Linked DNA regions of Macaca mulatta. The protein of the gene in region 2 binds, or shares a complex with, the protein of the main gene of each other region. Links are inferred from orthologs where the notes say so. Each region holds a gene or a part of one and is shown on either strand. Other genes may lie near its edges.

Region 1 (4,315 bases), on a different chromosome or scaffold from region 2:
TAATATTTTCCTAGAAGACCACAGAAATGGGTGGAAGGAAAAAGAGCTGTTCCACTTTCCTGCTCCTTTCTGACCTACACTGACAGTCTTCAAACACCAGAAATATCCTTTTATCTTTCCCATCCCACCTACTCTGGGAAGCCTTCCCATACTGATCCCAAATTGCTTTGATCATTCTAGAAATCCATTTTTGTACTGATATGAAGAAAAAGGAACAAAAGGAACACAGAAGAGAAATGATTAACACTCAATGATGGTAATGAACAGCCAAGGTTTGTGAAGTGCCTGCAACGCACCAGGCACTGTGCTAGGCCTGCTGTGGCAGAGGTGCTAGCTGTCCGAACGCCACTCTCCTTTCCTCCATGGCAGCTAGGCAATGCCTCTCCAGCTGCACTACATTTCTCAGGCTCCCTTGCAGGCAGGTATGGTCATGTGACAGATTCTCTCCAGGGGAAAGCGATCAGAAGAAATAAGAGCCACAGCTAGGCATGGCCCAAAGAGTTTCCTTCACACACTCCTCCTTGCTCTTATTCTGTGGGACTGGAGTGACAATTATGCCCAGAGTGACCCTGTGCAGACTGCAAGGCCACCATCAGCTGGGATTCCTGTTTGATGATATGCCCCTTCCCCTACCTTAGATAACCTGGAACACGTACCCAGACTGTTACATGAGAGAAACTATTGTGTTTGAGCCAGAAAAGAAAACTGAGTCTCAATGAGGTGAAAGAGTATGAGGGTGTGTCTAAGGTCAACCAGCAGGTATAAAGACAGGGACCCCGAAGTAGGGGTTTGAATCCTGCTGTGAGAGACCTCAAGTGAACAGTTCCCTTTTCTGAGCCTCTAATCTTCTCATCTGTAACACAGGGTTAACCACTGTCCTGGCCTCCAGTGGGAGGATGTGTATAAAGCCCCTCCAACAGATGCTTAGCAAAAGTTAATTGTGGAGTAGAGGCTATCTTTGGGGGAAGTTGGAGAAAAACAGGGGCATGAGAGGGGCTTCTAGGATATAGTAATGCTTCATTTTGTAATCTCCAGGCTGCTAATACAAGCTCATTTGTGAAAACTGTACATTTATGATCTGTGCACTTTTCTATTAGGTTGGTGCAAAAGTTATGTATTATTCCCAATCTTTTGCTATGTGTTAGTCCAGGTTTTTACTTTTGCAGCAACCTAATTATTGTTGTACCAACCTAATAAATGTATGATATATTCCAATAAAAAATAAATATAACACATTAAAACACAAAGTAAATGTGGTTCCTGTTTTGGATTAGGGTGCTCACCTCCACCAGGGCCTGCAGGAGGCGCTGCGTCAGGGCACCAAAGGGGCATCCATCTTCCGGCTGTTCATGCTGGGCCTCAGACTTCTTCAGCAGGGCATCCACATCTAAGTGGGCACAGGAAAGGAGGGCAGGTGGGCTGAAGTTCTGGAACTCAAGTCCTGACCTGGGGTTGGCAGGGAGGTGAGAGGCCTACCTTTAGTGTCCAGTTCAGTCAGTGGCCCCATGAGGCCTTTCTTCTTGTCAGCCACGGCTGCTGCCCGGGCCCCATCCTTCTGCTCCTCCAGCAGGTCCTCCTGGGCCCAACGCTGGGAGTAGTGCTTCCCCAGGGGTGGGATCTGTGGAAAAGATGGCACCCAACCCTGAGTGGGTAAGCACTGGCCAGCCATGCTTCATTCATTCATTCATTCACTTATCTGTCTTATCTCTCTCTCAAGTCCCTAGTCCAAGGCCAAGCCCAGTGTCAGGTATAGGTAAGAAAGTATAAAGAAGATACCTCTACTTCACACTCTAGTAAAGGAGACAGGTCCGAAAAGGACTAAGACACACACACAGAAGCCAATCTGAAACAATTCCCAAGATAGAAGGTGCAGAATACTCTACATACACGGATTGTCTCAGGTCACATCAATTGTCTCTCGAGAGAATTAGGAGCCTTCAGGTCACGGGTGACAGGGAATTACCTTTTATATTGCTTGAATTAACTGCTGTCTGTATGAACTCTTTTTCAAATAAATTTTTAAAAAGTCAGGTAAGTGAAGTGAAAGAGACAGATCAAAGTGTTGTGGCAGCACAAAGGAGAGACTAACTTTCTGCTGGGGAATCTGAAAGGGTGCTTTGGTGGAGGTAACATGAGATCAGGGCCTTGGAGGGTGAGTCAAGTCTATCAGGGAGAGAAGAGGGAGAGAAGAGCTTGCCAGAGGCGCCCAGAGACCAGCAAGGAGGCTGTGGTGTCCTGGAATGAGGGCAAGGTACTTGGTGGGACTGGTCAACACAGCAATGAAGAGGGGTATGGCCGAGGAAAATGGAGAGAGGCACTGGAGCTGTGCCACCAAGGACTGGGATGCATGGACTTGATCCTGTAGATAACGGGATGAAGAGAGGCCTAGATGCAGTGCCATGTCATGAGCACATCTGATGACAGCTGACCTATGGGAGTATTCTCCCTCAACATTTTTCTGTATTTTCTAAATATTCTTTAATGGAGCATGTTTTATTTATTTTCATCATTAAAACATAGTTTCGTATCTTCTTCTTTTTTTTTTTTTTTTTTGTGAGATGGAATCTCGTTCTGTCACCCAGGCTGGAATAGTGGCACGATCTTGGTTCATTGCAACCTATGACTCCCCGATTCAGGCGGTTTTCCTGGTTCAGTCTCCTGAGTAGCTGGGATTCTAGGTGCACGCCACCATGCCTGGCTAATTTTTGTATTTTTAGTAGACACAGCGTTTCACCATGTTGGTCAGGCTGGTCTTGAACTCTTGACCTCAGGTGATCTGCCTGCCACAGCCTCCCAAAGTATTGGGATTACAGGTGTGAGCTGACTTTTTTTTTTTTTTTTTTTTTTTAAAGACAGAGTCTTGCTCTGTTGCCTAGGCTGGAGTGCAGTGGCGTGATCTCAGTTCACTGCAACTTCTGCCTCCCAGGTCCAAGAAAGTCTCCTGACTCAGCCTCCCAAGTAGCTGGGACTACAGGTGCACACCGCCATGCCTGGCTAATTTTTTGTATTTTAGTAGAGATAGGGTTTCACCATGTTGCCCAGGCTGGTCTCGAATTTCTGAGCTCAGGCCATCTGCCTGCCCTGGCCTCCCAAAGTGCTAGGATTGCAGGCATGAGCCACTGCACCTGGCCCAAGCTTTACATCTTAAAGAAAGAAGAAGGGTTCCTCCAGAGGCCTCAAAGCAGGAACAGAGTTAAGGGGCTGTTTGTATAGAAGCTGATGAAGGCTTGGACCAAAGCAAAGGGACAGAGATAAAGGAACATGGGCACACTTCACTTAAGCTTGAGGGCATGGTGACATCTGGCTCAGGTAGAGGGGAGGCAGCGCACAAAGAAAGCTGAGTTTGGGCCGGGCGCGGTGGCTCAAGCCTGTAATCCCAGCACTTTGGGAGGCCGAGACGGGCGGATCACGAGGTCAGGAGATCGAAACCATCCTGGCTAACACGGTGAAACCCCGTCTCTATTAAGAAATATAAAAAACTAGCCGGGCGAGGTGGCGGGCGCCTGTAGTCCCAGCTACTCGGGAGGCTGAGGCCGGAGAATGGCATGAACCCGGGAGGCGGAGCTTGCAGTGAGCTGAGATCCGGCCACTGCACTCCAGCCTGGGCGACAGAGCGAGACTCCGTCTCAAAAAAAAAAAAAAAAAAAAAAAGAAAGCTGAGTTTGGACCTGGGTGTCTGGATACATTGATGGAGCAGATAGGAGGCTGGGCAGGATGGGGGAAGGAAGATGATGCATGGCTTTGGTAGCTTTAATTCTCAGCCACCTCTGAACTCTCTTGTTCTGCATCATGTCTATCAAGGCCCAGAGTTTCTACCTTGTAATGCTCAGCCTCATCTTCTGGGGGCTTCAGTAGCTCCTCAAGTGTGCGGACCTCCTCGCTGGTGATGTCAGCACAGTAGGGCTCCACTGAAGCCCAGAACCTGCAGGGAGAAGCAGATCCTCAGTGGGTACCCCTGCCCCACCAGCGCCTCCACCACCAGAACCTTGAGGCCCCCTTCTATGTTCTCTAGCCCAGAACCTGTTGGGGGCATCATTTTTGGGGATCCGTGGCACGTCGATAGGGTCATCAGTGAATTCATATTCCTGGATCTTGGGCTGAAGGTTTTTGGATTTGGGCCGTCCTGGGCCAGGGCCCGGCCCATGTCCCGCCTTCCCTTCCAGTTTCTGCTTCTTGGGCTTTCCATGTTTCGGGGGAGCTCCAAGTTCATGGTCTCGACCCAGCTTCAGGAATCGTCGGTCACCTTTTTTATCCTGCCAGTCGGTGAGGATCTGAAATGTACAGAAATTGTCACTGAGGGAGAGAAGGGAAAACA
Region 2 (4,843 bases):
CCTAATACCCCACACTCAGATCCCACACTCTCAATCCAGTCACTAGCAATGATAATCTGCAAACTGGGTGCAGTGGCTCACAACCATAATCCCAGCATTTTGGGAGGCCGAAATGAGAGGATCACTTGAGGTCAGGAGTTCAGGACCAGCCTGGGCAACACACGGAGGCCCTGTCTCTACAAGAACAAAATAAAATAATTAGCTGGGCATGGTGGTGCACATGTGTAGTCCTAGCTACTGAGGAGGCTATGGCAGGAGGATCCCTTGAGCCTAGGAGTTTGGGAATAGGGAGCTACAATGGCACCACTGTACTCCAGCCTGGGTGACACAGTAAGACCTTGTTTCTAAAAAAAACATAAATAGGTTGGGCGCAGTGGCTCACACCTGTAATCCCAGCACTTTGGGAGGCCAAGGCCGGCGGATCAACTAAGGTCAGGAGCTCAAGACCAGCCTGGCCAACATGGTGAAACCCTGTCTCTACTAAAAATACAAAATTAATCAGGTGTGGTGGCACATGCCTGTAATCACAGCTACTCAGAAGGCTGAGGCAGGAGAATTGCTTGAAACCGGAAGGCAGAGGTTGTGGTGAGCCGAGATTGCGCCACTGCACTCCAGCCTGGACAACAAAGAGCAAAACTCTGTCTCAAAAAAAAAAAAAAATTAGCCAGGCATGGTGGTGCATGCTTGTAATCCCAGCTACAACCAGGAAGCAGAGGTTGCAGTGAGCCAACATTGCACCACTACACTCCGGCCTGGGTGACAGAGCAAGACTCCATCCCATAAATAAATAAATAAATACAATCTATATTCATCAATTGGTTAAAGAGACATTAAGAAGACAATTTTTTTCCTTCATGCCTCTGTATTGCAACTTATGCCAGTGTTTCTCATTTAAACCTTACAGCAATCCTATAAAATAGATAACAGAATGGTACGTATAGTAAGGAAATTGAAGTTCAGATAGGTTATGCTAGGTAACTCAGGAAAAATAGGTAGTTGAGCTGGGGCTGCAAGGCTGCAGGTTCTAAAATCTATGCTCTTCCTCTCAATTCCAAGTTTTGTCAGGACTTCAGCATATTCAAGAGTAAAAGAGATCATGGAAGTGGAAGCTGCCAAACCACCATTAGGCTATTATGACAACACTCAAAGTATCACCAGTAAAATGATGACTGAGGCAACTGAAAAACAAAGCTAGGGAAATGTGATGGTTAACTTCATGCGTCAACCTGATTGGGCTAGGGGATGCCCAGATAGCTGGTGAAATACTTTTGAGTGTGTTTGTGAGTTTCCAGAGGGTTTGCTTTCCTGGGCTTCCAGCTTGCAGAAGGCAAATCTTGGGACTTCTCAGCCTCTGTAATTGTGTGACCCAATCCATCACAATAAATCTCTTTCAATATAGCTATACAGTTGACCCTTGAACAATACAGGTTTTAATTGTGCAGGTCCACTTATATGTGGATTTTCTTCCACCTTTAGGACTTTTTTGAAACAGGGTCTTGCTCTGTCACCCAGGCTAGAGTGCAGTGGCACGATCTTGGCTCACTGCAGCCTCCACCTCCTGGGTTTAAGCAATTATTGTACCTCAGCCTCCCAAGTAGCTGGGATTACAGGTGCGCACCACCAAGCCCGGCTAATTTTTTTTTTTTTTTAAGAAGAGACTGGATTTCACCACGTTGCCCAGGCTGGTCTCAAACCCCAGAGCCCAGGCAATCTGCCTGCCTCAGCCTCCCAAAGTGCTAGGATTACAGGTGTGAGCCACCACGCCTGGCTGGCATTTACATTTAAAATGTGAAACTGGGATTGTGGTGGTTCATGCCTGTAATTCCAGCATTTGGGGAGGCTTTGGTTAGGAAGACTGCTTAAGCCCAGGAGTTCAAGGCTGCAAGAGGCTGCAGTGAGCTGTGATAGCATCACTGTTCTCCAGTCTGAGCAACAGAGAACCTGTCTCTAAGAAAAAAAAAAAAAGTGAGATGCCTAGGTTAAAATCAGCAGAGGAGAAGCCAGAGTGAGGAGAGGCAAAGGAAGAGAACGTTCAGCAAGCCAAATGAAAACAGTGTTTCAAGAAAGTGCAGCGATCAACAGCACCAGATGCTGCTACAGGACTGAGACCTAACTTAACAATGAATTTGGCCATCTAGAGATCACTGGTGGCTTTGACAAGAAGCCGGTTTAGTGGAGTGGTGGAGACCAAAGCCTGACTAGAGGCTCAAGGTTCAAGACTTGAAGGAGAAAAGGCACTAATGAGGGTAGACTGAGGCCTCTGGCTGCAAACCGGAGGCGAGGAGGAGGTAACTGGAGGACAGCGAGGGTGAAGGGGGCTGCTTTGTTGTTCCTAAGATGGGCATTTTTTGGCCAGGCACGGGGGCTTATGCCTATACTCCCCACACTTTGGAAGGCCGAGGCGAGAGGTTGAGCCAACGAGTTCGAGACCAGCCTGGGCAAATTACGAGCTGTTAGTGTATCTTCAAAAAAAAAAAAAAGATAATTTTTGTGCAAATAATAAAATAAATGCTGGAGTTCGGGGCCCATCTTCTGTCCGCATCTTCGTGACCCGGGCCATGCACCCGACCTGGGGGCTGCCTCCCTGCCAAGCCCGGCGTGCTGCTGTCTCCCACCCTAGCCCGGGATGGAAGCGCGCACGCGCAGACCTCGAACGGCTGGGCGCAGGGCCCGCCCCACCGTCGAGTCCCGCCCCTCCCGCCCCCCAGCCCCGCCCCTCCCGCCCCCCTCCCGCTCAGAGCACGTACGCACCGTCCCTAGAGCGCCGCCTGAAGGAGGACGGGAGCCTGGGCGCTGAGGGAGGGTTTAGCCCTTCGCTCCCGCGCTTCGCCGGAGGTCTCAGGCCACGGCCCGTCCCCACCTACCGAGTCTCGCAGAAAACAAGGTCTTCGGGCTGGAAACTGCGACGAGGGAAGCTGGCGCGTTCCTTGAACGCTTTTTCGGAGTCTGCGGATGATCACGGACCTGCGTTCGAAGATTGGCGGCACGTCGAGAGCCGCACACGTTTTTTTTTTTTCCTTTTATGAGCGCAGTCGCGCGCGGAGGACCTTGAACGCATGCGCAGTCGTTCCTCTGTGACGTGACCCGCTGCCGGGTGGGAAATGTAGTTTTTACTTGGCACACCGCTCCGGCTCTTGTCGGAACCCTAATTTAACCAGCCAAAGTGCTTGTGCGTTTTCAGCGTTCTCCCATTCCCCCAGACTATTTAAAACAAAATGCAAAAAAAAAAAAAAAAAAACCCAACTTGAAAACGAAGAGATTGCTGCTTGCTGGAGAGGAGTGGGTGCAGGTAATACAAAAACCGTACTTTCTGCGCAATTTTGTTGTGAACCTAAAAATGCCCTAAAAACTAAAGTCAATAAAGTCTATTGTTAAAAAATTAATTAAAAACAGGCCGGGCGCGGTGGCTCACGCCTGTAATCCCAACACTTTGGGAGGCTGAGGCGGGCGGATCACCTGAGTTAAGGACTTCGAGACCAGCCTGACCCACATGGTGAAACCCTGTCTCTACTAAAAAATACAGAAATTAGCCGGGCGTGGTGGTGGGTGCCTGCAATCCCAGCTACTTGGGAGGCTGAGGCTGGAGAATCGCTTGAATCCAGGAGGCGGAGGTTGTAGTGACCGGAGATTGCGCCATTGCACTCCAGCCTGGGTATCAAGAGGGAAACTCTACATCTCAAAAAAAAAACCAAAAAACAAAAAAACAAGCAGACCTTTAGACCCAGAAATAGCACTTTTAGGGGGTCTTCTCAGGAAAGTATTAAGGATATGGACGTGCAATGGACGCATAGCCTCAGTGGTATTTATCGAAATCCATCTTGGTATCTTATAATTTCTTACATAACCCTACAAATGTCTGTAATTATTTGTAGATTATTTGATAAACTTGCAAGTCCTATGAGATTAGGATCATCTTGTGTTCACCTGTGTATTCCTAGTACCTAGCACAGTGCCTAGCCATCACGTTTCTTTTTCTTTTTTTTCTCTTTAAGACAGGGTCTCGCTCTGTTGTCCAGGTTGGAGTGCAGTGGTGCTATCAGGGCTTCTGAGTAGCTAGGACTACAAGCGCACACCAGCACATTCTGCTGATTTTTAAATTTTTTTGGTAGAGATGGGGGTCTTGCTATGTTGCCTAGGCTGGTCTTGAGTTCCTGGGCTCAAGCGATCCTCCTGCCTCAGCCTCCCAAAGTTGTGGGATTACAGGCATGAACCACCATGCTCAGCCTCGTCAGTATTTTTCTGTTTATTAGAGAATCTCAGGCGTTAGCACTGAAACTATTTTAATCCAAAAATTAATGCGTCATTTTTTTCCATCACACTTGCATTTCTTTCTGTGGGCTCCAGGTCAGTGAATGACATGCCCACCCACCCAGCTGCAGTTTGACTTACTACTTTTTATGAAGGTTATGCTTTGAGGGATTTTGTGAATTTTGCATTTGTAAAGGTCTTATGGGCTCTTTCTCCTGATTGTTAAATATCAGCCCAAGGCCAGGCGCGGTGACTCACCCCTGTAATCCTACCACTTTGGGAGGCCAAGGCAGGGGGATCACGAGGTCAGGAGTTTGAGACCAGCCTGGCCAATTTGGTGAAACCGTGTCTCTACTAAAAATACAGAAATTAGCCAGGTGTGGTGGCACGCACCTGTAGTCCCAGCTACTCTGGAGGCTGAAGCAGGAGAGAATCACTTGAACTCAGGAGGCAGAGGTTGCAATGAGCCAAGATTGCGCCACTGCACTCCAGTCTGGGCGACAGAGTAAGATTCTGTCTCAAAAAATAAAAAATAAAATAAATTTTAAAAATCAACCCTAGTCACTGATCAGGAGAGATTTGGAGCTCACAGTTG
Region 3 (4,315 bases), on a different chromosome or scaffold from region 2:
GTTGTATTGTGACATAGGACATTTCAAACAGCTCAGGAGTAGTGAGAAAACTGCTCCCTCTGGAGGAATATTAACTTTAAGTTCACTTATGTATTAACATCATGATTTCACAGTACATGTATAGGTTTGAAACTCATAGAGCTCAGTTCCTTTTACTAGTGGGATAGATCAACCTTGTCACTCATACCTCACATTCATTTCCTAAAGGAACTTTAAAATAATCTTCGCCAGTGATAAACACTTTTAATGTTAGCATTTACTTTGTGTAACCAAAATGAAAACCAGTTTGCAATATAGTCTATTATTAAGCAGAAGGAAACTCTACTATCTTAGTTACTAACTAAACCTGTGAAATAACTTGAATTGTGTTCTTAAAGCTATTCATTTAAAAAATAAATAAAAGATTAGAGCAACTATAAAAATTGTGCTTAAAACCCTATGAAAATTAATTTCTAGGTAGTTACCTTGATTACAATCAATAACATTGCAAAATTCCCTGACGTTGTTTTCATTGATTTCAGCTTGCTTTCTTTCAATAAATGCAGATATTCGTCTGTCAATCTACAAACAACAAGTTTTAACAGTGTAAACATAAGATTTTTAAAAATAATACCCTCTCACCCCCGCCAGAAAAACTTACTTCTGCTTTTCCAGCCTTTATCTGAACTACTTCTGGATCAAAATGGATCTGTGTCTTTTTCACATCTCCTAAATCACTTTCTTTGTGTTTTTCTTCCTCTTGTAGGTCACCAATGGAAAATTTGTCATTTGCTTCATTTTTGTTCCCCATTTCTGTTTTTCCTATCTCTTCAACAGCAGTTGTATTCTCCTCTTTAATTGGAGACTGAAGTTTTGCTAAAAAAGGCTGAGAACAACACAATTCCATCTGCTGAGGTTCAAACTGACCAAAATTAATTACACATTTAATATATTTACATAAATTTCTGCAAAGTAAATGAAATACTTAATATCAGTTAATAAATATAAAAAGTTGGTATACCAAGACACATAGATCTGACCACATGTAAGTATTTACTATTCTCTGCTATTGTAACCATTATCATTTGCTATAAATTAGTTTTAAAAAAGGAGAGAGGAAAAAAGAAAAGAAAAAAGAAAAGAAAACCTAAGGAAATTTAAAATTTTCTTTGAGAGAATCATTCTGTCACTCATCTTTTATTTTGTGCCAAATCAAAGCCTTCAGCCTCTGGCACCAATGCCACTTAATTAACATGTCATTCAAATGCCTCCTCAGAACACTAAGGCTTAGTATTTTTCCTCCTTAACATGAGAGCCAGTGCTCTCACTCAGCAAAGCCCTGCATTATCACTATATCACTGGAGATTCTCCACTTGAAACTGCAGTTGGCCAATGTGAATGAGGAAGATAGACATGAAATATATAGGTGTTAGGTTGAGTGAACACTCAGACATTTCCTGACATGGCAAGATCTCTTCTTGGGTCATAAAATTAAATTTTAAAAAAGAAAATGAACAAGAAAAAAAAAAAAGATCTATAGCTGAAAACAGGCAGAGGCCTATCACTATACTACAGGGGAAAACCCCTGTTGTAGACTATAAACTATATTACCCATTTACTGTTCCCCTCCCCCGCTCCCCACAATTAGGCCTCATTTGAGTTCTACAGCTCACTGCTCTGCCCTTTAAAACAGGGTTAACTATTACTTTTAACATGGAACAGTTAAAATTTCCCACAAAGTCAATGAATGGAGGGCTGAAAATTAATGCCTATTCCATTAGTCAAAACACACTAACACTGATAATGTTCCAATTATTTTTTTCATACCCACAATTTTGCTTCCATTGTTTGCTATACTACTCTTTTGAAACCTTGTAACACCTTAATCACAGTAAACTGACCAATCCAAACAGTTTTTCCACTTGTCTTTTTGACACTTCACATTTTACACTTTGATTAGAGATAAACTGCAAACTTACATCAATTATAATTGCAAAGATGTTCAATTAGAAACCAGCAAGGTCATAATACTGTTCAGTTATTAACATGAAATATTTAAAAATATAACAACATTATTATAAATACAGATTCAATATTAACTTCTAATATAAAGAATGAATTATTTCAAACTGTTAAGGAAAAGAAATGATAAAATAGTGACTGGCTACTTACAAAGATGAGACATTAATGTCACAGAAATTACTTTCTTTTTAAAAACTATGCTGAAACTGTTTAATTGCAATAGACACTCCAGGATGTGTCATGCTGGGATAATGCCCCTTCTTGAACCACTGAAAGCACTCCATGAGCCTCCAAACTCACCCAAGGCATGGAATCATTATCATAGCATGACACACACCTGCCGTGTCTTATTGCTTAATTATAACCCACCATAGATGGAACTGTATTGAATTTTCAGTGCAGGTCTAGAATTGAATAGAATTGCATTCATTCACTCTCATACCCACATTGGTCTTTTGGGCTATATTCCCTTAACTGTCCTGATCACTACTGAAATTAACAGATTTAGATTAAATCTGGATGTAAATAACCTTTTGTTAGCAACACTATTAATATAGTGTTTAGAACTGTCAAATACTCCAACTAATTTAACCACAATTAATGTCTATTTTCAATATCGGGTTATCATTTTAGCAAGAAATTTACCTGTAAATATAAAATGTGTTGTTCAAGTGCACTAAAGAGCAATGCAGGCTGGAATGCCGAGAGGCTCTGGAGCTTGTTCCAATCGATTGTAATTTTCACCACATCATCTCTGAGGTTAAGCTTCAAAGGGGCAAACCAGCAACATCACAAAAATTACACAATTAAGCTGTACATATGAATTGTCACAAAAATAAGATTTCTAGAGTAACGGGTCTATTTTGCTCTAAGTTATCAAGTTTTTAATAATACACTGAAATGCTCTACGCAGTTCCATTTTAAGAGGCCAAAAAAGCTACAGATTTTCATAAAAAACAAAAACAACATGACATGTCATTCAAATTCTATTCTTGGGTCTGTGTAATGCGACCATTTTAGAGGTAAAAACCATTCATGAAAGATGAAAAGATGAAGGCTCTTTTGATACTTCAATATCTACAAACCTTTGGATGGAGTCCAATATAGGCCTGCCCTATTCAGAATCCTACTACTTCTAGCTCAGAGCCTTAAACAGAGGAAGTACAACTGTTTTGTGAAAGTTTTAACATGCATCTTTCTCTTTATGTACACAAATACATATCAGAAATATATCATTATTCTGATGTCCTCCAAATCACATTTTTAGTTTTTTAACTTTTAACCAATTTTTAAACTAATTTAAAAGTCAAGATTATTCATACATATAAAGTGTAGGGATAAATGGCAACATGTTTATTTCAAATGAAAAACTATTATTTAGCTACAGAAGTCTGAAGCTGAAAAACAAAGACTTCTCCACTATAGTGACATAAGTTGCCAGACTGGATGAAATGTCCAGATCTTTTGCTAAATGCTAAGATATCAGTGCTCATTATATGGAAATTTCTATCAGTTGGTGATCTAATAGAATAAAATCATACCCAGAAAACTACCAACAACCTGAATATAAGATTATCATCAAAATGAGTGAAAAGTTTACAATGAGAGCGCCCATCTGCAGTCTTTTGAGTAAATAAAAGTGAACCATCACAAACTTTTCTAGGGACATGTGTTTATAGCATAGTATAAGAATACACTTCATAGTGGAATCAACTTAACATAATTTATTCAAAATGAGTCATCTTTTCTACAAAATAAAGGTGTTACATGAGTTCAAATACAGATTTTATTAGTCATAATTATAATAAAAAAGATGAATCACTGTACAAAGATCAAAAAGATGTAAGGTTACCAATAAAAAGATAATATATTGAATACTTTGTGACAGAAATGAAGATGAGAACAGAAGCATTTAGAAGTCCATATTAGACAAGCGTAAAGATACATGAAATTTCATGTAGGCTGCACTGGCAAAGATTATAATATGTTAAGATTTTACGTTAAAGTGAATGCATTCATTTACATTATTTTAATTCCTATAAAGATTTTGTTAGACAACAACCTGTATTATGTATGGAAGTAACCTATTATTGTACTTTCATAGTCTTCAAAGAGATCTACAGTTGATCACAGAAAACTTAAGAATACAGCTTGGGGATAAAGCAGGCAAATCCTCAACCAAAGCAAAGTATCACATTTTCTAGAGAAAATAACTTATAGAAAAATAAGTCTTAATGTTTCGTTCATAGTGTCATTTCAATTCAGCAGAATTACATAAGCTTCAAGTGCAATTAAGAATAACTGGTCTTTTAAG
Region 4 (5,087 bases), on a different chromosome or scaffold from region 2:
AACCGCTTACCTCTTAAGTGTCACTCTCAATTCTCCTCTCCCTTCAACCTCTGGCAACTACTTTTTGTGTCGATAAACTTGCCTGTTTCTGGACACTTCGTATAAATAGAATCATACAGCACGTGGCTTTTTGTATCCGCCTTTTTTTTTTTTTTTGAGACGAAGTCTCCCCCTGTCGTCAAGGCTGGAGTGCAGTGGCGCGATCTCCACTCGCTGCAACCTCCACCTCCTGGGTTCAAGCAATTCCCCTGCCTCAGCCTCCCAAGTAGCTGGGATCACCGGCCTGGGCAACAGACTGAGATTCTGTCTCCAAAAAAAAAAAAAAAAAAAAAAAACAAAGAAAAAGAAGAAAAAGAAAAAATCTGCTTCATAAGTCTTGTTTTCTGTGAGAAAACTGCATCAACTCCCACCATCTACTTTCTATCATGATAGAAAACAGACTGAAAGCAGAGCAGGACCAAAGGCAGGGAGATGTGGAACAATCCAAGAACGTGGCAACGAACATTCAAGTAAAAATCCATGGTTGATGAGAAGAGGACAGGACCAACTATTTCTGAGAATCTATCCTAAGGAAATACGGAGCAATGTACATCATACGTGGGCTGCACTCAGAGATCTACAACGTAATGTTAGTTCTCCTCTTCCTATGGATTTTATAATAAAAAATAACCCACCGCAAACTATCATGCATCCGCTGAATGAACATGAAGCATTGGAAACTGAAAAACATGTGGGGAGAGCTCTGAATGCTGTATGTCAAGCTACCTATTTTTAATATCTAAAGAACCTTTGACAATCAATTAGGAAATAACAAAAGATGCCAGAGAACAAGAAAAGAAATTCGCAAATAGCCAATAAATGTGAAAAAAATGTTCAAACATACTAGTAATCAATAAATGAAAAAAACACAAGACATCATTTTTCATCGATCCAGTTTAGTTTTGGCGCAGATGGAAATAGGGGCACTTTTTTTCTAATTTGCACTCATTAGTTTCATTTCCTCACATTCCATTAAACTATTCTAGTCTGGTTCCCACCTTCCACTTCCAGAACTATGGACAGGAAGACCAATGACCAAAACCAATGACCTCCGTGTTGCCAAATCCAATTGACAACTTTAATGAACATCTCAGAAGCCCTGATAAAAGGACCAATTCAACATCTTCCAGAAATATCTCTTTTGGCTGCCATGATACCAGCTTTTTCTCCTACCTCACTTGCTGTTTCCTGTGTCCTTTCCTCAACCTTCTTCCTCTGCCAGACCTACAGGTATTTGAGTGTCTGAGCCCCTTTCACTTCTTCACGCTTCCCCTCAGTGATCTCACACAGCACCATACCTTTGAATGTCATCTATGTACTGATCACTCCAATTTTTTTTTTTTTTTTTTTTTTAAGAGACGGTGTCCTGCCTTGTAGCCAAGGCTGGTCTAGAACTTCTGGGCTCAAGCGACCTGCCTCGGCCTCCCAAAGTGCTGGGATTACATGTGTGAGCACTGCGCCCAGCCACTCCGATTTTTATCTCTAGCTCTAGCCTCTCTCTTCCTTGAGTTCCAGCCCTCTACATCCAACTGCCTCAACACACCGACTTCATAACTAATAAGCATCTAAAATTTAATACATCCAAAATAGATTTCGATATTTTTCCCACCTCAAATTTCTCTCTTCCATTCTTCATCTCAGTAAACGGCACCACCATTCACTCAGGTGCTCAAAACAAAAATCAAAAAAGCAAAGACTCCCACCATTCCCTCACCAATTCATTTCCAAGTCTTGTTCATTCTACCTTCAAAACACTTAAAAATCTGTTTACACTTCCCCATCTCCCTGCCATGGGCCTAGTCTAAGCTACTGCAAAGAGCACAGTAACTGACCTCGTAGGTTCCTCCCCAGCCCTCTTCCTCTACATAGCAGTCGGATTATGCTACTCGCCTTCTCAAAACCTTCAAAGGTTTCCCGGAAAAACTAAACTCCTAATCAGAGCATCATCTGCCCTATCTTTTAAAGAGTATACACAAACAGGAATATACATCCAAGGGTAATATCTCTAGACCGTAAAACTGCGGGCATTTTTCTCTTGCTTTGCTTGTATTTTTAAATTTTTCTACGCTGAATACTCTCTACTCATTAAGGGGAAATGATATTGCTGAATACTATATGATATTATGGCGCATTTTGTACATGTGAGCGAGAAATGGAAAACGTGGGTCAACTCTGTAACTGCTGAAGGCTTAGATGAAAATACTAGCAAACATCAAACTAAAAAAATGATGTGTCAGGCCTATAAGATCGCTGATGGCATTTCTCTTTCTCTGCTTTCCATTTCTTAACATAATCACATTCATGATGGGGAGAACCTCATTGTCTTCTGCAGTCTGGCCACAGCCCTCCAAGCCAGCCTTTCCTGCAGGAGTCCTCACTTTCCGAGGCTTCCACTCCGCCCCGCACTGCCCGCAGCTCCGGCGCGTTGGCCCCGGCCCCCTCCCTGGAACCCCAAAGCCTCTCTAACCCCTCCCCTCCATCCCGGGAGGGCCGGTGGGGATGGCGACAGGTTGGAGGGGCATTCCAGGATCCTTTCGGTAAACCCACGACTTTCTGGTCCTGGGGCCAAATCTTGCCTCCAAGGCCAAGAGCTTAACATCCCGAAACCTCCGGCCGCTGAGGCTCGGGGACCCGCATCCCCTCAGCGGAGCGCCCCGCTGAAGAGGAAGCCCCCAACTCACGTTCCGATTCCAGGCTCCCGCTTCTGCGGCTCCTCGGCCCGCACCTGGGATCCTCCCTGCCCTCCCCTCCGGCCCGGGGCCTCACCGGGTCCCGCCGCGGCGCAGCCGGCCGATGGGGGAGGGGCGCGCACGTGCCCGCGCCGCCCCCGCCCAAACAATGCCCCAGACAGCAGGGCGCGCGCCCGCGCGGTCCCTTCCTGCGCCCGCCAACACTCACCCTTTCTCCGGGTCTCCAGCTGCAGCGCGGCCCCGCCGGGCGCCGCGAGAGGGTAGAGCGAGGTGAGGGAGCGGGCGAAGCCCCGCGGAGCTGCCCAGCCACGAAACCCCAGCGACCCCCGCAGCCCGCGGAAGCACCCAGATCGGTGGAACCCGCCCGACCCGTTCCGCCCCGCACGTCAGCAGCCGGGCGCGTCGGGGCGCGCGCGGCGGCGGTGGTGGCGGCGGCGCGCGCGCGCGGCCTCGGGGCGGAGCTCGCAGGGATGAGGGCGGGGCGGGGCGGGGCTGGTCCAGGCTGCGACCCCGGCCCGCGAGGCCACTTCCTGGGCAGTGTGGGCGTCGATTCTCGCAAAGGCGTGGTTGTCCATCACTTTTCTGCCCCAGAAGGTGGCGAATTTCAACCCCAAGTTTGACAGAATATTCATTCTGCCGGTATGTATGAGCTTCCCTATTAATTACAATAGTAACAATGATTTTTGTGTGTGCCATCTTTGTCCCAACCCATGTGCTAAGTGCTGCGTATACAAATAACAGTAGTTATTGCTAGCCCATTTTACAGATGAAGAGATTGAGGCAGGGAAGGCTTGAGACTTATCCCAGTCACACTAGTGACAATCCAAGTCCAGTTTTCCATCTAAATATCTCTTGAGGCCAACATTCTCTTTCGTTCTAACTCTACCACCCTCTACCCAAGACCCTGTCATCTCTCTGCCCAGGACTATAAATAGCCTCCCAACTGGTCTTCGGGGATCTTCTGTTCCCCTTCAATCCCTCCTCACTGTATAAAGATTTACTACTGGAGCTGATTTTTTAATACTTTACCTACATGTTATCAAATTTTTATGTATTTAATGTTTTTATCTACACATAATACATGTAAATGGTGTTTTGTTTTTTGTGGTTTTTTTCTTTTTTTTTTTTTTGAGAGAGTCTCCCTCTGTTGCCCAGGCTGGAGTGCAGTGGCATGATCTCGGCTCACTGCAGTCTCTGCCTCCCTGATTCAAGTGATTCTCCTGCATCAGCCTCCCAAGTAGCTGGGATTATAGGCATGCACCACCACGCCCAGCTCATTTTTGTATTTTTAGTAGAGAGAGGGTTTCACCATGTTGGCCAGGCTGCTCTCAAACTCCTGACCTCAGGTGATCCACCCTCCTCAGCCTCCCAAAGTGCTGGGATTACAGGCATGAGCCACCACCCCCAGACTAATTTTTTTTTTTTAAAGACAGGTCTGACTATCACCACAGCTAGTCTCACACTTCCAGGCTCGAGAGATCCTCCTGGATGGGCGTGGTGGCTCACGCCTGTAATCCCAGCACTTTGGGAGGCTGAGGCGGGCAGATCACCTAAGGTCAGCAGTTCAAGACCAACCTGGCCAACATGGTGAAACGCCATCTCTACTAAAAATACAAAAATTAGCCAGGCATGGTTGCACATGCCTGTAATCCTAACTACTTGGGAAGCTGAGGCAGGAGAATCACAACTCGGGAGGTGGAGGTTGCAGTGAACCATTGCACTCCAGCATGGGCAACAAAAGTGAAACTCCATCTCAAAAACAAATAAACAGGGCCCGGCGCGGTGGCTCAAGCCTGTGATCCCAGCACTTTGGGAGGCCGAGACGGGCGGATCGCGAGGTCAGGAGATCAAGACTATCCTGGCTAACATGGTGAAACCCCGTCTCTACTAAAAAATACAAAAATTAGCCGGGTGAGGTGGCGGGCGCCTGTAGTCCCAGCTATTCGGGAGGCTGAGGCAGGAGAATGGCGTAAACCCGGGGGGCGGAGCTTGCAGTGAGCTGAGATCTGGCCACTGCACTCCAGCCTGGGCGACAGAGCAAGACTCCGTCTCAAAACAAACAAACAAACAAACAAACAAAAACAATTAAGAAAGGCTTCCTTGAACCTTAAGCTAAGACTCAAGAGATAATAGGAACTGGGGAGATAAACATAAATTTCATGGAGAAGGGGGTGAGGTCAGAGATCAGGATGAGTGTGTTGGTGTTCCCCTACTCTTGGGGTTTAACACTCAGGTGGGAAGCATAGAAATACCCAGGTAAGTGCTGAGGAAGCTAGAAGTTGACCTCCCCTGGTCTAGCTTGGAAGGCTGTCCAATTCTGTGAGAAGGCTCACACAGCAGGGCTCGGGAGCAGGCCAT

What was found.
Region 1: SGF29 (region 2) and TADA3 share a complex: the UniProt entries of both Homo sapiens proteins name them as parts of the ADA2A-containing complex. The link is inferred for Macaca mulatta from reciprocal best matches to the Homo sapiens genes SGF29 and TADA3.
Region 3: SGF29 (region 2) and MBIP share a complex: the UniProt entries of both Homo sapiens proteins name them as parts of the ADA2A-containing complex. The link is inferred for Macaca mulatta from reciprocal best matches to the Homo sapiens genes SGF29 and MBIP.
Region 4: SGF29 (region 2) and YEATS2 share a complex: the UniProt entries of both Homo sapiens proteins name them as parts of the ADA2A-containing complex. The link is inferred for Macaca mulatta from reciprocal best matches to the Homo sapiens genes SGF29 and YEATS2.

The regions. Positions count from the first base shown.
Region 1 is NC_133407.1:148,572,234-148,576,548, forward strand, and holds part of TADA3 (transcriptional adapter 3), read right to left. Parts: intron 4,272-4,315; coding exon 4,021-4,271; intron 3,923-4,020; coding exon 3,817-3,922; intron 1,619-3,816; coding exon 1,477-1,618; intron 1,388-1,476; coding exon 1,284-1,387; intron 1,248-1,283; exon of another isoform or gene 205-1,247; coding exon of another isoform or gene 181-204; intron 11-180; coding exon 1-10. UniProt on the Homo sapiens protein: Functions as a component of the PCAF complex. The PCAF complex is capable of efficiently acetylating histones in a nucleosomal context. The PCAF complex could be considered as the human version of the yeast SAGA complex.
Region 2 is NC_133425.1:28,277,058-28,281,900, reverse strand, and holds the start of SGF29 (SAGA-associated factor 29), read right to left. Parts: upstream 3,002-4,843; 5' UTR 2,865-3,001; exon of another isoform or gene 2,752-2,864; intron 1-2,751. UniProt on the Homo sapiens protein: Chromatin reader component of some histone acetyltransferase (HAT) SAGA-type complexes like the TFTC-HAT, ATAC or STAGA complexes.
Region 3 is NC_133412.1:109,435,272-109,439,586, forward strand, and holds part of MBIP (MAP3K12-binding inhibitory protein 1), read right to left. Parts: intron 2,767-4,315; coding exon 2,647-2,766; intron 866-2,646; coding exon 641-865; intron 562-640; coding exon 465-561; intron 1-464. UniProt on the Homo sapiens protein: Inhibits the MAP3K12 activity to induce the activation of the JNK/SAPK pathway. Component of the ATAC complex, a complex with histone acetyltransferase activity on histones H3 and H4.
Region 4 is NC_133407.1:95,834,661-95,839,747, reverse strand, and holds the start of YEATS2 (YEATS domain-containing protein 2), read right to left. Parts: upstream 3,148-5,087; 5' UTR 2,938-3,147; intron 2,854-2,937; exon of another isoform or gene 2,721-2,853; intron 304-2,720; 5' UTR 11-303; intron 1-10. UniProt on the Homo sapiens protein: Chromatin reader component of the ATAC complex, a complex with histone acetyltransferase activity on histones H3 and H4. YEATS2 specifically recognizes and binds histone H3 crotonylated at 'Lys-27' (H3K27cr).